Daphnia pulex: one gene and its partner. The protein of the gene in region 2 binds, or shares a complex with, the protein of the main gene of each other region. Links are inferred from orthologs where the notes say so. Each region holds a gene or a part of one and is shown on either strand. Other genes may lie near its edges. The genes, in order: beta-1-syntrophin-like and dystrobrevin beta-like.

Region 1 (7,677 bases), on a different chromosome or scaffold from region 2:
GAATGATCAAATCCATTTTGACTCACTCCACATTAGTTGTCTTTATTGTCCGGTTTTGGTATTTTTAGTTATTTTACTTTTAGGCATCAGACGATAAAATGTCTGGCGCTTCTACGTTTTCGTATTTCCGTTCCCGTCGATTTAACAGGATGCGGATCTATTTCTAGGTGAAAAAAAAAGGAACTGCCACGTGTAGCTCGTTTCTATTCATAAGCTGAGCTGACCTTCCTGCTTGTCCTATCTGGTTTGAACTAATAGTGAGCAATCAAACAAGCATGCTACCCAGTTGTTGAAAAATTCATATTTGTTCAGTGCAAATGATCTTAAAAAAGTCTTTATCAAATCAACCGCAAAAAACCAGTTTAAGGAATGCGAATTTTTCGATTATATCAGCTCGAGCCGGTTTGCTCCTGTTTCTAGATGGTTCATATAACATTTGCGTGATATTGCCAAAAGCGATAGGAATTGCTAAAAGGCCCCAATAGCTTGTGGGCGCATCCTTTCCATTTCAGTTTTCATCTTGTTCTGACTTTGCATAATCATTTGAAATGTTCGTCTTGTCTATCTAACAGCAAGAATCTCCGAAATCCAAGTACGTACTTTCAAAGACAGATCTGATGGCGGTGCTCCAAGCTATATGCTCACAATTGTTCCTTTTCAAACCTACTCGACAACAAATGCCATCTAGTTAGACGGCCAGCAACACTAATAATGTAAATTTTTCAGAATATTCAACAACAATTTACAAGTTCGTAGTAGTAAAAATGCTTGGGTTCGGAGAAAACATTCCACGAAGAATATTATATACTATATATTTTTTCCTATGCATACACACGCCTCAAAGTCAAATTCCCTTCATTTTCTCTACGTGACCGGGGATTTAATCTTGAGATGTCTGGAAATCAGGAGCGTGATTGACCCATATATAATAAACTACCAATGACACTCTTTTTTCTTTATCAAAATATAAGATAACCTAATTAGAGGTGTTGAGAAAAACTTGTAAATTTTCTCAGACAGTGTATTAAAGATATAAAGTGTTGTAAACAAAATGATATAGACCAATCTAACTTTGACAAGTAGACTGATCCTTTAGCTGTATGTTTCTCTCACACAGTAGCTGACAAGAAATAGAATATTTACTTCTCGTAACTGGCGTCTTCGCTCTTGGTATAAACTTTTGTCTTCGGCAGGCATAAACGGAATTATGATTGATGGAAAGAAATAGTTGCAAAAGATCTTTCGCCGGAAAATCACGTGATCATCCCCATACGATTGATTTTACCGGATAAAAAAGAATGTAAAGTAAACACAAACGGCTTCGGGCATGTTAACATGTCCAACTCCTGGAGATAAAACAAATTTGGCGGGATTAAAGCTATTTCTTATCTTCAAACTAATATTTTTCTCTGATGACTTACCATTTCCCCTTCTTCATTTCCGATATCAAGCCACAAAATGCGCACGCCATCATCGGCTGAATGGCGTAAATTGCCAAAGGAAGCTTTCCAAAATGGAACAGGCAACGTGTTAGATCGTTCAGCAGACTGCATCTCGCTAGCTGGATACAGTTTCAAGCCGTCTTCATAGTGCAGATAAAGGCGAGCCTCTTGTCCTCGCCACAAACAATCTAAATAATATTCAATCAATTACGATCCTAGAATTTTTAATAATGATGTAAAACTTATAATACCCCAAGCAGCTTCTCTGATGGCAACGACACAGTTATGTGTTCCTGTAACAAGGCCACGGGCCCACAAAGTTAAATCGCGTTCGCATTCCGCACGGAATACGCGATTGACTACTCCTTTTGATGTTCCAGTACGAATGCAAAAGGTGCAGTACTCTCCCTCCGAATTGCTCTTGTTGCTGCTTACCAACCTAATTATAAAAGATAAATATCGTTCAAATAGATTAGGAGATGGAATTAGAAATAATAATAATAATAATACCTGGTCATTAGAAGTGGTATGCGAGCACTCGGCTTTGTCCAGCCATCAATACTCCACGGTACCGAGTCATAAAGCAAGACATCACGATCGGTCAAGGCCACAAATACCGGTTGCCAATTTTCGCTCATCAGGGATGATGGCTCATTGCCATGACTGTTCAAACTTCCATTATCCATATTGACACTATTCTGGGCGTCTTTAGGTCGGTGACCCAAGAGAGCCAGCCAACCCCACATCCGTATGGAAGCCGTGTTCAATGCTTTCGCAATCCGATGCCCATTCTCGGCTAAACCACGTGAAGATAACACCGAAAGGGTCGTGTGCAAGGATACAAACCTGACAGTAATAATGGTTTTTATTTAAAAAACAAAATTCAATCATTAAAAAATGATTAGAAATTTTTACCATTGGGATGCTTGCGTGGTGTCTGGTGCACGAAGAAGGCAAGATTGTAATCCATCGGGTGAATGAATTTCCAAAATACGGTGATCATTTTTCTTGGCCGCTTTCAGCCGCCTGGCTAGGTAACAAAAGAGAAGAGGGACCGATCGCGTATCCGGTTTGGTCGATGTTTGGGCGACGTGGGAAAAGCCCAGGAATTGGCGCTGCAACTCCCATCCGATGTCGCTGAGAAGCGAAGCTTTTCGAATGTACGGCGTCACCTCGCGGAGATACTTCACTGCAATGTAGAATGATGTCACCACTAAGCCACAACACAAACGGCCAGCGAGGGAGTCGATCGTGGAGGTAATAAAAAACGAGAAAGGGATCATGCATCAAACAAGTCATCTATATGACGGATACTGGTGATCAACCTAGCAGGGAAGCAGGCGGTGAAACTTAATAAAAATAAAATAAAATAAAAACGAAATGGGCAGAAACTGAAAAAAAAAAAAGCTAACTCGGAAACTTGCACAAAAACTAAAACAAAAACAAACCAACAAGAAATGTGAAAGAAAAAAGCCAACTAAATTACTTTTCAAGGAATACTTGATAATGCGAGGTGTGACGGAATAATAATACACGCAACCGAGCAAAAAAATGCCAGAGCAATGCAAGCAGACACTCTTTCAATATGATCAAACCTGTTTTATACGATATTACATGGTCGTTGAGAGATGGACAGGTTCTGATAGAGCTAACGGAATGAAAGAAGTAAGGGAAGAAAATGAGTCTATCCACGACAACTTTCTCCAGTTCATCAATAAAAGAAAAGTTGATGTGGATAACTCCAACAGTATCCGTCTATGTACACGGTACCTTCCAATTCAACAGTATTTTCAGCGGTCTTCAAAGCAGAAACGGCCTCGTCGTGCGTTGCGTTATGTAAATCTTCTCCATTGACAGACAGAATAGCATCCCCTATTTAAGAAGAAAAATTATATTGAGTCGATTATTACTCTCATTAGAACTAGAACAGTAAAAGTTTAAGGATATTACCAACATAAAGCTGTTCAGTTCGATCAGCTGGCAATCCCTTGAAAATTTTAGAAATCAAAATGGGCATTCGGTTTTCTCGGCCGCCTTTAATTGATATGCCTAAACCAGTATTGTCCGATTTAACTATACGGACGATTCGTTTCTGATTGGCCAATGAATCTCGATATTGTTCAGCTGAAATTGCTGATGTGTTGAGAGTTTCTGCGCCATCTCTTTGGTTTGTTGAAGGATTTTCTAGTGTAATAAACAAACACCCGGCATCACCATTTAAAGTTGCAGTCGCTGGGTGCCATTCCTCTTTAGCCCATACTTCCACCTGACCGCTTCTGTCATAATTGGTCATTTCTATTCTGTAAATAATAGAAATAGAATTACTAACACCACCTGAGAAGAATATAACCAATAGTAACAATTATTGAAAGCTACATAATATCTAACGATAACAACGAAATAAATTAATAGCTTCGAGAAACGTTTAGTGAAAATATGGTCGCGCCTGCTCATCTTTAACTACATCCATCTGTTTCTAATTTGCTGCTCTAGATGCACATACACATGAACTAACCTTACCTTTTATTACACGCGTGGAACTTGTAATCACATCACTGTATTTTGTTTCTAAATTTGTATCTAATTGTTCTATATCTATAATAACAATCAGTCACTTTCGAGACTGAATCGTGTCTGAACTGTAAACACACACTTGTGGTTACCTAATAATCACTAGAGACATCTAACGTGATAACTATCAAGTAACCAAATCAGCCACGCCCGGTATGTGCTCCTTGACTTCTTGCTCGAAGGCTTCCTGCTGTTACTGTTTTCATAATATAAAAATACTGCCATTTCTATCTTTTTGTTGTTGCTGTCACTATTTAGTTGATAGAAGTTTAAGCGTAGTTTGAGTGAACTTACCTTTATTTTACAGTTCTTGCATAGCACAGCTACATATATAACATCCAGATTCGGTTAAATTTTGTGAGGTTCAGTGCTCCACTGCCTAGTGGTCGGTGTAACTCCTTCAGTAACATTAACCAGGCTTCTCCTCTATAATAAAATGTACACTCGACAAATTCTTGGGACGTAGCCCAACAGTTTACCCATATCACGTTTCTTCTCTATCCTTTACCTCTACTCTTGCTTAAAACGAAACGGCTGAACCAAGGTTTCGTTATGACGTTAGTCGGCAAAAGAATGGGTCAATTTCAAGCTTGACATTGCTTGAAGTCCCTTAGGTTTTTACTGCCGATACTGCCGCTTTGACTTTGTGTTGATTCGTGGGTTCAATGCGGGCCCGCATGATTTTTTTTCCCGGATGTCTTTTCGTAATACTTTTCAGTGGATACATTGTATATACTAGGGCTCGCGTTGCAAGCGTTGGCCTTCGGCTAAGTGACAGAGCTATCTTGGAAGAATTTTGGAATTAGGCAGTCTTGTTCTTGTGCTTCATTTTCTTGTCGTTATTTTTTATTTTACTCTGTAATTTTTTATTTTATTGTACTCTGTATACTCTTCTACTTTTTTAAAACACTGACCATAAAAAAAAAAAAGAACGACGTTGCATTTATAAATTTTCATTTCGACAAAAATAAACAAATAAGGAAGAAGGACAAATTAACATTTTTAGCGGAAGTAAAATAAACTTTTTGTCTGGGAATTCCAAACCTGGTCGGTATATACCTCATTTCTCGAAGTTTGGTGATACTTGATGAATACACTTTTCTGCCGTGTAATCAACCTCAGCTTCGGTGGTGAATCGCCCAATTCCAAATCGAATAGAAGAATGCGCCAAATCTTCTTCAGCGCCAATGGTCCGCAAAATATATGAAAGTTCCAGCAATGCTGAGGTGCAAGTACTTCCGCTTGAGAGTGCCACGTCTTACGTAATAAAAAGAATTAGTTAAAATGAAAGGTAGTGGAAGTTGCCTTTAAAGTTACCTTTCAGGGCCATGAAAAGACTTTCTCCCTCGACGTAGGCGAAAGAAAGGTTTACACAACCTGGGTAGGAGTGTTCAGGATCTCAATTTCGTACGACATGTGTTAAACTATTACCAATCTGATCGATCAAGCGTTGCGATAGTTTACTAATCTGGCATGATTATACTAAAACATGGTTTTGATCAATTAGTTATGTATGGATACTACTATGACATGAACTAAAACCTTAAGTTCTTGCTGAGCTACTTCACATGCTGCGCCAAAACCAACTGTCACTCTGTCAGTGGAGTAGGAACTGTTCCACCACGTATCCCTCATTCCTGACCACCTCCAGATTGCAGAGCTTCAATCCTAACCCGTGGTCGGCCTATCACGTAAAGAGCACCAACACCTTTTGTTCAAGTTCAAGAAAATAATGATGCGAAAAAAGAGTGAATTACATCGAAATAACAATCATATATTAAATTGTAAAATACCTTTATAAATCAATTGACATCGATTCAACATCAATTGGAATTTTACCTAGAGCTTGGGCTCCATCACAGTGGAAAAACACTTTAGCTTTTCGACACATAGCATCTAATGATGAAAAAATTATGTATAGAAATAGAACATTAGACTCTACAATGATTATGTGTGTGTCTCACCTATTTCTGCTATGGAATAATTTGCCATGTCAGGAAGCATTGCAACTAATACCCTTGTAAGTATCGACTCTAGCCACAAGTTGGTAACTGGAAGTTGGTCACTGGAAGTTGGTCACTGGAAGTTGGTCATTGTAAGTTGGTCACTGTAAGTTGATCCATGCTACATTTACTCCTGTAGAACAAATTCAGTTTAAAGATTAAACTTTTCTGCATCTGGGCGATTACGAATTACCAGTTGTAAACATGTAGTTTGGCACAGGTGGGTTGGCACTGTTTCGATATACTGAAGAACATGCTGAGTTCCTGAAATGACTTAATTTAGTAAGAGACCAATTATTTAACTGTTGACACAAGTTGCTGAATGTTTAATCGTTTTTTTTTCAATGGAAGCAACTGTTGGTATGTGTCTGTGGACTAGGACTAGGACATAACAAAAAGCTGAATGAATACAGTGAAACTTGGGAATACCGAAACATTAAATATTAACTTAAATAAAATTCGGAAGTAAACGCCAATTTTTGTTAGGCATGGAAAACATTTTGAATTACTTTTCCTTTGATAATATAATACACGAATCTTCGAATGCATTCTAAATCTGTTGTTTGTTTACATTTACATTTCTATCACAAAAACTACCCCTGGGTATACCACGCAATTCCATTTTCAGGTTTCGGCGGTGACTGAAAAATGTGGGACCGTGAGTTGAAAATCGCGTGGCAGGGAGTATAGGCTTCACTGAATTTCCGATTTTATATCGATCGGTAAATCGAGACGGGAGCCAATAGCAAGGCCAGATTTCGGTCACGTGGGGGTAGTTTTTCTCTCTAAGCTCCGCCTTTTCCCATTTCCTTCCAGGGAGACTTTTGAGCTCTACGGGAACCCTGTTAAGGCCCTCGGCAGGCTAAAGCCTTAGCCTCAGGGACCAACGTATACACCTCAACTACCTTGTTCTTGTCTGGAATAATGGTGTACTTGTGCCGAGAGAGAATCCTTATTATTCACCCGTATTCACGGTAATATTTCGGGTCGTTCAAGCTTAATCGATTCAAAATTAAGCTCCTTTTTTAAACCACCAAAGAGTATACAGTATCCTCTCACGTATATCTCCAGTTAAATGAATTAAACCTTATTTACTAATAAATCTACGATGCGTAATTAATCTAACGAATAATGTCCCAAAACGATTTTTTTTTTCAATGTAATAAATACAATTTTTAAATCGGATCTCGCCATATGGATCGCAAGAAAACTGAAACAAGAATACCCGATATTTGAACTAGAAATAATTATTTCGAAAGTTTTGCCGTGTTTAAAACGAAATGTACCTCGTCAATACAGTAATCAATTCATGATTAAAACGCACCAGAAAAAAACAAGCAATGAATCTTCACGTGTGTACTTAGCAAGATGAAAATCTAAAAATCACAAACCATAGAAATAGGATAGGGTAAAAAAAAAAACATTAATGCAAATGGCACATTTCTGGAATATCTGTTAACTGATTAACATTATTGAAAAAAAAACCTATAACTAAGTCGGCACTGGTCTTGGGTTAATAATCGTAATAAAACAGAACACCGAAATTAATTCATAAACATATATATTCCTAATTAAATTTTAGGGGGTTCGCAAATATTACCTATCCCAAATAATTAATATTTGCTAACCTCTAATGATCCTTAATCAACCATAGCAAAATA
Region 2 (7,630 bases):
GAACACAAGTCTCGAGACTTTCTCCTCGTTAAGAAATGAAACAAACAAACAAAAATCAGAGTTCACCTTCACGCCAGGTGGATTTTTCTCAGGCGAAAAGAAACGAACCAAACATTTTCATTTTCGTTTAGGACGTTCACCTCGTTAATTTCGGACATGTGCTTGTGTATACGGGAACAAACCCGTAACCACAACCGTCATGGACATTGAAACCCGCAGATGATTTACCAATAATTTGATATAACAACCGCATTAAAAGAAGGAGAGACAAAAACCAAATTGTTCACAGTACGAGACAGATATCTGGCAACGCTTCAAATAATTTCCAAAGGAAATTTACTTTACCACATCCATCGATCAAAGATGGAATTATAAGTGGGTCATTCAAATTAAACCCTTTCATGCGTTGGATTTTGAATCCGAGACAAAGAAGAAAGTTCCCAAACGATACGACCCCGCCCGGAACGAATTCAATTCTCTTCACTAAACTTGTAAAATTGTTATAACAAATTTTTAAGAAAATTCAAAATGTGTTACCTTGGCTATGAGGGCACCTTTGACGAGAATCCCCGCACCTGGATGGAAGTTGATGACGACGCCCGACTCGATGTTGAGCGAACCCGTTTTTTCGATATGAATCACATCACGAATGTGGTAGGGACTGTGTGCCCTGGTCATGAACTGACTGTCCGTCACACTTGGGTTGAAGATGGACTCACTCACCGTTCGATGATGGCAAAGAATAACAAGGAAACAAGAGACGGCCAGCAATGTGGTCGTCGGCCACTTTGTGAAATGAAAGCGTCCAGGCTTCATCTCTAAATCGTTTGCAAAATTTTTCTTGTCTAATCGACTGGACGTTTTTTTTCTCACCAAGGGCACATTTTCCCTGCACCAGAGATCACACGATTTAGCAACGAAATCGCAATGAGGAATTGGAATGAAATTTTCGGTTAGACAGTTGCAGGTAGCGCGAGTGTAGGTTGGCAGCACTGTGTCGGGGCAACGGTCGACTCTCAACTGCCCCGCCTCACAACATTTGAAACTCTCCCGAGTCTTGAATGTGCAGCCAACTCCACCGTTTCTCTCTCCCCCACCCCAACGGCCTCAGCAACACACGAGAGAGGCCACTGTGTAAGTTAAGATGAAAAACAGTAAACTCCCTCGGGGCGTGTATACCTGTGGGATGTGAAGATACAAAAAAAATGCGGATGAAAAGGAGAACAGAAGAAAGAAAAAGGAAGGGAGTTCAAGAGGAGGTATATACTGACAGCACTGGGCCGGCCAACAATGGGGGATTTGTGGAGCTTACGGACGGACGGACGGAGCGCAGGTAGAAGAACAGGTCACGTGACTAAAAAGGAATGTGCGTGTGGAGAAGGAGGGTGGTTGAGAAAAACAGGTAGATAACAGCATTCGAACACCATCTAGCGTTTTCAAATACGATTATCGTGATTTGAAAATTTCAAATTTTGTTATTTTGGAAGGGTTTATTATTGCTGTTTGTTTTGCCAACAACAACAACAACACAAACACTCGTAACGAAACAACAATATAAATGTTCCAGTTTTTTTCACGAACTTTTTTACCTAAAAGAGGACGGGATTGAAGTATTCAGGAAGAGGCAACCACGCTAAATGTCTCCACATCGGCAAATAAACAGCACAGTTAACGAGTTTTCACATAACTATCTTTTAAAAAGTAATAATATGAGAGAGTTTCTGACTTGTAAATCTATTATTAGAACTAAGTAAAGAGCTGCCAGCCTTTTTTTTCTTTCTTTTTGGTCAGTCAGATCAATAAATCTTCTACTGATCGATCGAAATGTGGCACGGAGTGTGAGAAAACGAGAATTGAAAATTGAAATAACAATCTAATAGCAACAACAAGTAGTCCAGTGGAGAAAAAACAAAAACCGACCACAGCCATGTTACCTGGCTACACCTATGTTCCGTACATAGAGGCGCTATTACGACACACTGATTGAAAGGAGGCAGAAATGCATCTTGAGGATTATGCATTACCTTTCTTTAAAGGCTACCGAAATATAAATGGAGATTTTAAGTAATCGGGCAGTACGAGGTAACCAAATAACTGGTGGTACTTATCATAACAGTAAAGATGGGGGTGGGGAGAACTTAATCCAGAACAACTGAAAAGTGAGATGGAGAGGAATGACGGCCATACGTGACAAAACCAAAAGTGGGCAAGAGTTTTTTTTTCTTAAACGCAAGTATTATTCGAGTCGTTTGACAACCCGTTGAAAATCCGAGCCGATTCATCTTCGCTAGTATCTGGAAAAATGTATACAAACAAACAACACATTTTAGTCCATCCTTATTTGACTGGTTTCAAATATAGCATAATCTCACCCCCGTTATATTCGAGAACTAGACTGCTCATGGCGTCCGTCACTGAATCGGCAGCACTCATCAAATCTTGGCGCCAATCAAAGCTGCCTGTGTTGAAATTACGATTGGGATTATCCATTGACGGGGTGATGGCGGCTTGGTGGGATTCGGCCTCGACCGAAGGACTTTTCCCACGGCTTGGGGTAGAAGACGTAGATGGAGTAGAACGGGGCGATAGCTGCTGATTCTGGGAATTGAAAAACGAGGAGTCACATGTTAAGAGCCGCACTATTTGAGAACCAAGGATTTCTCAAATTACTTTGATCATCTTCATTAGCGATTCCAATTGCACCATAAGTTGTTTGCGAGAGTCTTGTAATCCATTCAGTTGCTGTTCAAGCTCCGATTTCCTCTGCCGCAGAACGCTCAACTCTTCCATGAGGGGATAAGGTCCCGTTATGACCCCTTCATCCATTTCCTGCTCGTGACTGCACAGAGATCAATAGAATTTAGGCCAAACTTCTTTAAAATGTAAACCAACAGAAACACGGGGGGTCGTACCGAATACGAGCAATTTCTCTGAGAATTTCTTGGTTTTTATTCTCAAGCTGAGCCAATAGTTGGTGTGCACTGGTGCTGCTACTCTCTTGCTCCGGACGAGGATCCTTCTGATTTTCTGCTAATTTAGCGGCATAGCGCGCAATCAATCCGTGTTCATCATCTCCGCGTTGCCACGAACGACTCAAACTTCCCGTGTTATTTTGCACTTGGCTGGTCTTCCATGTCTCGCTACCTCCCAATAGAGAAGCGTTGCGTTCCAATGTCGCTGATGGCGTTGAACTATAAAAATGAAAGGAAAATGCATGCATTAATTACTAATTGGACTATGAAAAATTCTAAGTGGTTTATTATGGGGTAATATGTAATTCTAAGTCTAAAATAGCGATCAGATAATTAAAAAATGGGAATTAAAAAGGTTTCCCATACCGGGAATCGAACCCGAGCCTCTTGGGTGAAAGCCAAGTATCCTAGCCACTAGACCATATGGGATATACCAAAAGGGCTTCTTACATATACGTGACTGCAACGGGTCTCTCTGGACCCTCTAGTGTTCTCCAAACTTTGGTACGATTCTGGTCGTAGTCGGACGTGGGGCTTCTCACGCACTGAAGGGAACGCCTCAAAGATGCCGAAAACACCGATTCCTTTGGGGTTTTCTACATTAAACGTCAGGAAATTAAAAAATAACAGTTAATTCTAGCCAAAACGGTTCGTTTAGCTTGCCAATCTATAGCATGCTCACTTATATACCTCTTCTGCTGCCTGAAGCATCAGTAAGCGTGAATAAATAAACGAGCATATAATAAGCATATCAAACGGCGTTTAAGAGATATCCCAGTCAAAAGATTTCGTTATCTAATGCCCCTTTCAACATACCGGCGTGTGATGCTCGCGAATCTCGTGATCGGCATTATGCGACTCCGAAAAAGAAAGTCCACGCCAAAAACATTCTTGACACTGATGGCTCCATGCCGAAGGACATTTGGTACACTTGTATCGTAAACCGCTGAAACGGGTGCGTCCACAAGAAACGCATTCCACGGGATGAACGACTGCAAGCAATTAAAAAAGGTAATTTCAACGGTCAAGAGCATCCAATATGACGTTCTTGGGTATTACCATTTTCGGCAGCTGCGATACGATGTATGAGAGGAAGCCAAACCAATGACGGAGCTGCCGCAGGGTCACCCAAGAGGACGTCAAGGAATTCATTTACACTCACTTTGGAACCCTGTTATGAAAAAGATATAAGATCAAGTTCTTAATAGAGCTGTAAAGAATACAACAAACTCATTAAAATAAATACATTTGGAAAGATTTCTTGAGCCATTGCCGGCCTGTAATGAAATGAAGGCTCTTCTCCAACTGCAGCTGTTAGAACAAAACACTGACGCATGAAGTCTTCAAATTTTGGGGCAACAAGCTGTCCATTCGAGTCAGACATTTGAGAAAAAGCATCTGGAAGCAAATGCATTTGTGTTAAATCCAAGTTTGTGAGTAAGAAGGAATAGGTAGCCTACAGCGAAGCTTATCTGCCAACTTTCCACCACACAGCACGGCTAAAATCATTTTGATTGTAAAGACAGGGATCCTATCAGTTTCTTCATTCCTGTAAAAGATTGTAATTTTATAGAGCTCCATTTGGCAAAGTATTATCATCACTTACAGGTTGTAAACAGACACAATCCACTTGATAAGATACATGGTCGCAGGATCAACATGAAGCTGTTGCCCAATGGGGACCCGTTTGTTTAAATGAACATACAGGGTGTTTATCAAAGTCTCAAGTCGACTGAGAGTCATAGGTGTGTAGGGCTCCACCGAATTCAATCCATTTTCTCTGAAGGCCTCAATTAGATTCCACACATCGATAAGGTGCACTGTAGAGATAACAACCAAATGAATTCAATTCAACTAGAAAATATTTTAGGAATGTATGAATGTGTTACAATGAGTTCTTCGCTGAATGAAACGGAATTTGACAGCCGTCCGATAAGAAGCTAGACGAATGACGTTGAAATTCTGCGTGTGGATGTCATTTGCCAAGTCCAATTTGCCCGACTCATTTTGTTCCATACTGATCCTAGATATTCAATTATATTCACGTACAACGATCGATTTTCAAACACCCGAGAGGTAGTAGAGTGAATTAGCTTGGTATTCAAAGCCTGCTAAAATCAGAACTGCTTTAGTGCTACCGCTAAGCCGATCTGTACGACTTCGTGAGAAAGAACTAGCAAAACAACAAGCACCCTGCACTTTGATATTATGCAGCACATGCAAAAACAAGGATATAGCTTGATCAGCTGTTTGGAATGCTAAACTAGCTGCAGCGCCTTCTCTGAAGTTGTTGATACTAAACAGACTGCATGGAGCATGCCCGAGCACGCCACATAACGTCGTAACCCTCGTCTAGAAATTCCCAATATAACGCTTGTGTGATTTATTTTCCAAACATGGTTAGAGTGTAAGACGTCTGGTGTGTTGGTCGATAAGTAAATACAAGCGGCAGATTGATATCTATTTGAAGTTTTCAAATCTCGCCTCAGATTTCTAGCAAGCCATAAAGTAAATGCCCTTAGCGATAGCCATACAACCTAACGTAACTTTGATTAAAAAAGGAGATGTTTTGAGGCTTGGAGCAAAGGGTAAAAAGACGTCCAGCACACAAGGATTGATTATAACTTGCTAATTCAAATTACTATGCAAAATGTGAAGTAAACCAAACCTCCTGCTGGGATTTCAATTAGTAGCACAAGCACATGCGTTTAAATTGCGGATGTTTGGCTACTACTGGCTTTTTATGGGTACTGTAAATGGTGAAAATTCGAAACTGTAAAAAGATATGTTCACGGAAAGCTATTATTCCAATTTCCGTACTCCACCCACTTGTAGTTTGTTTATATTTATAAAAACGAGGACACGGGATATCCGCCTTCTTTATTAATGAAATAGCCGCTTGTATTTTAGTAAGTGTGTAAAATATTTGTATGTAATTTACAGCATTTTTTCACTCTTAGTTCTCTTTTTAATATTTATTTATTTAATAACACCACTCAGAACACGCTGACTTCCTTCCAGTTTCTCACAAGGAGATACCGGAAACGGTCCTCAATGGACAAGAGTAGATACTACCGAAGCAGTTACACTCCCGACCTGCTTCACGCTCAGAAGCCAGCGTCGTTACTCCTCATCGTGGGTTGAAAGGAGACAAGTTTCTGGTGGGAAACAAGTCAAGATATACTACAGAAATGATCCTGTGAAGTATGATCTTAATTAGTCGTTGGTTTGGCGCAAGTATTTGATGTTTTCATAAAAAGAAACAGCAGTGACGTAACTGAATGCTTCAAAATACAATCTGTAGACGTATACACAAATATTTCGTTCTAGTAATTGCACAGTGCACGAAACTGTAACTTGAAGTAGAGTGTTCACTTAACGAATATTATTAATCTTGATAAGAAAGAGGTATAAATATATAATTCTCAAAATTAGAGACGATACTGGAACCGAGACTGCAAATTTATAGTTTTTTTTTTTCTATTCCTGCCTAGTGTTGGAATGTTGCCACATTTACCATATTATTACCGCTTGCCGCTTGGAATGTCCAAGACTCCAAGCATGCTCCAGAAGCGGGAACATTTAAATCTGGATTGATATCAAGTAATCGACGTGGAAGTTTCTCTTTAGTCTGGCTTTCTAGAAGTTTTTAGTTTTTCTATTTATGTTGGTGTTGGAAAGTTGCCACATTATCACATTATCAACGCTGGTAATATTCAAGTGGGAAAATTAAAATCGGGATTGAACTCAAGTATCGTACTCGACGTGAAAGTATGCGAAAATTGCGGAAAAATGGTCGTGGAAACTTGTTTCACTATTCTAATCAAAACGTGCTATGATCATCAATACCCAGACATCACTTAGCGGATTACGATTCGTGAGCCGGGAACTTTCTTCTCGGGAGTTTGAGTCGGATGGAGTAAGCAGGTATATACAGACAAAGTAAAGAGGAAACTTGCTAGCCGGTGCGGGAATGGTATAAACGGGTGCGGTTTACTCTAAAACCTTATTGACTGGGGTCTGGCAAAGAATAGACAGGGAACTTGGAGGCCAATGGTGGAGTTTACAGGGGTTGTTTAGATAACACGAGTGAAATGAGTTGGAAACAGAGGGAGCCGGAGCGGAGTAGAAGGAGAGGGTTTGTATATGTAGGGTTTACTTTGTTTCCCTTTTTTACTTGTCATCAGACACGAATACCTTCCGTATCCGTCAACCTTGTGGGTAACGATTTCAAGAGCGGGAGACAGGGAGAAGAGTCCGGTAGGAGCCTGTTGTAACCACTACTCTCCGAGTGACTGTATGGTTACAGCAAGTGTATAGTCATCCTGGGCTGATCCCTAATAAAACGTCATTAGCAAGAGTTTCTTTGTTTCATGATACATTTCTAATAGTACCAAATGGTTTTCTGTTTTGAAAAGTTTAAATGTTTTGAGTGCCAACGTGCCACGAGTTCGGGAATGTTTTATTTCATTTGGATGTTTAGACTAGGTTCAAAGATTGGTAAAACGACTCACACATAAAAAGACAAAGGTTACTAGAGAAAAGGGCAAATAAAAGACAAGTCAATTAGAAAAAATAGGACTCGTCTTGAATCATTCGCATAGGAGAGACAGATAGGCACAACACGTCATGGTATTGGTATCAAATGCATTACAAGT

The links.
Region 1: dystrobrevin beta-like (region 2) and beta-1-syntrophin-like share a complex: the UniProt entries of both Caenorhabditis elegans proteins name them as parts of the dystrophin glycoprotein complex. The link is inferred for Daphnia pulex from reciprocal best matches to the Caenorhabditis elegans genes dyb-1 and stn-1.

Annotation. Positions count from the first base shown.
Region 1 is NC_060025.1:4,793,721-4,801,397, forward strand, and holds beta-1-syntrophin-like, read right to left. Parts: upstream 4,632-7,677; 5' UTR 4,308-4,631; intron 4,124-4,307; exon of another isoform or gene 3,963-4,123; intron 3,743-3,962; 5' UTR 3,736-3,742; coding exon 3,393-3,735; intron 3,315-3,392; coding exon 3,213-3,314; intron 2,656-3,212; coding exon 2,358-2,655; intron 2,289-2,357; coding exon 1,953-2,288; intron 1,882-1,952; coding exon 1,694-1,881; intron 1,631-1,693; coding exon 1,422-1,630; intron 1,347-1,421; coding exon 1,254-1,346; 3' UTR 981-1,253; downstream 1-980. UniProt on the Caenorhabditis elegans protein: Adapter protein that binds to and probably organizes the subcellular localization of a variety of membrane proteins. May link various receptors to the actin cytoskeleton and the dystrophin glycoprotein complex (DGC).
Region 2 is NC_060026.1:13,043,348-13,050,977, forward strand, and holds dystrobrevin beta-like, read right to left. Parts: upstream 5,283-7,630; 5' UTR 4,989-5,282; coding exon 4,862-4,988; intron 4,793-4,861; coding exon 4,579-4,792; intron 4,522-4,578; coding exon 4,433-4,521; intron 4,371-4,432; coding exon 4,219-4,370; intron 4,144-4,218; coding exon 4,032-4,143; intron 3,965-4,031; coding exon 3,789-3,964; intron 3,675-3,788; coding exon 3,663-3,674; intron 3,569-3,662; coding exon 3,423-3,568; intron 3,402-3,422; exon of another isoform or gene 3,330-3,401; intron 3,192-3,329; coding exon 2,913-3,191; intron 2,840-2,912; coding exon 2,671-2,839; intron 2,599-2,670; coding exon 2,373-2,598; intron 2,295-2,372; coding exon 2,224-2,294; 3' UTR 1,842-2,223; downstream 1-1,841. Other genes in the region: protein bark beetle-like, read right to left, coding at 538-816. UniProt on the Caenorhabditis elegans protein: Plays a role in cholinergic transmission and as a functional partner of dystrophin (dys-1), necessary for muscle maintenance. Required for localization of ctn-1 near dense bodies in muscle cells.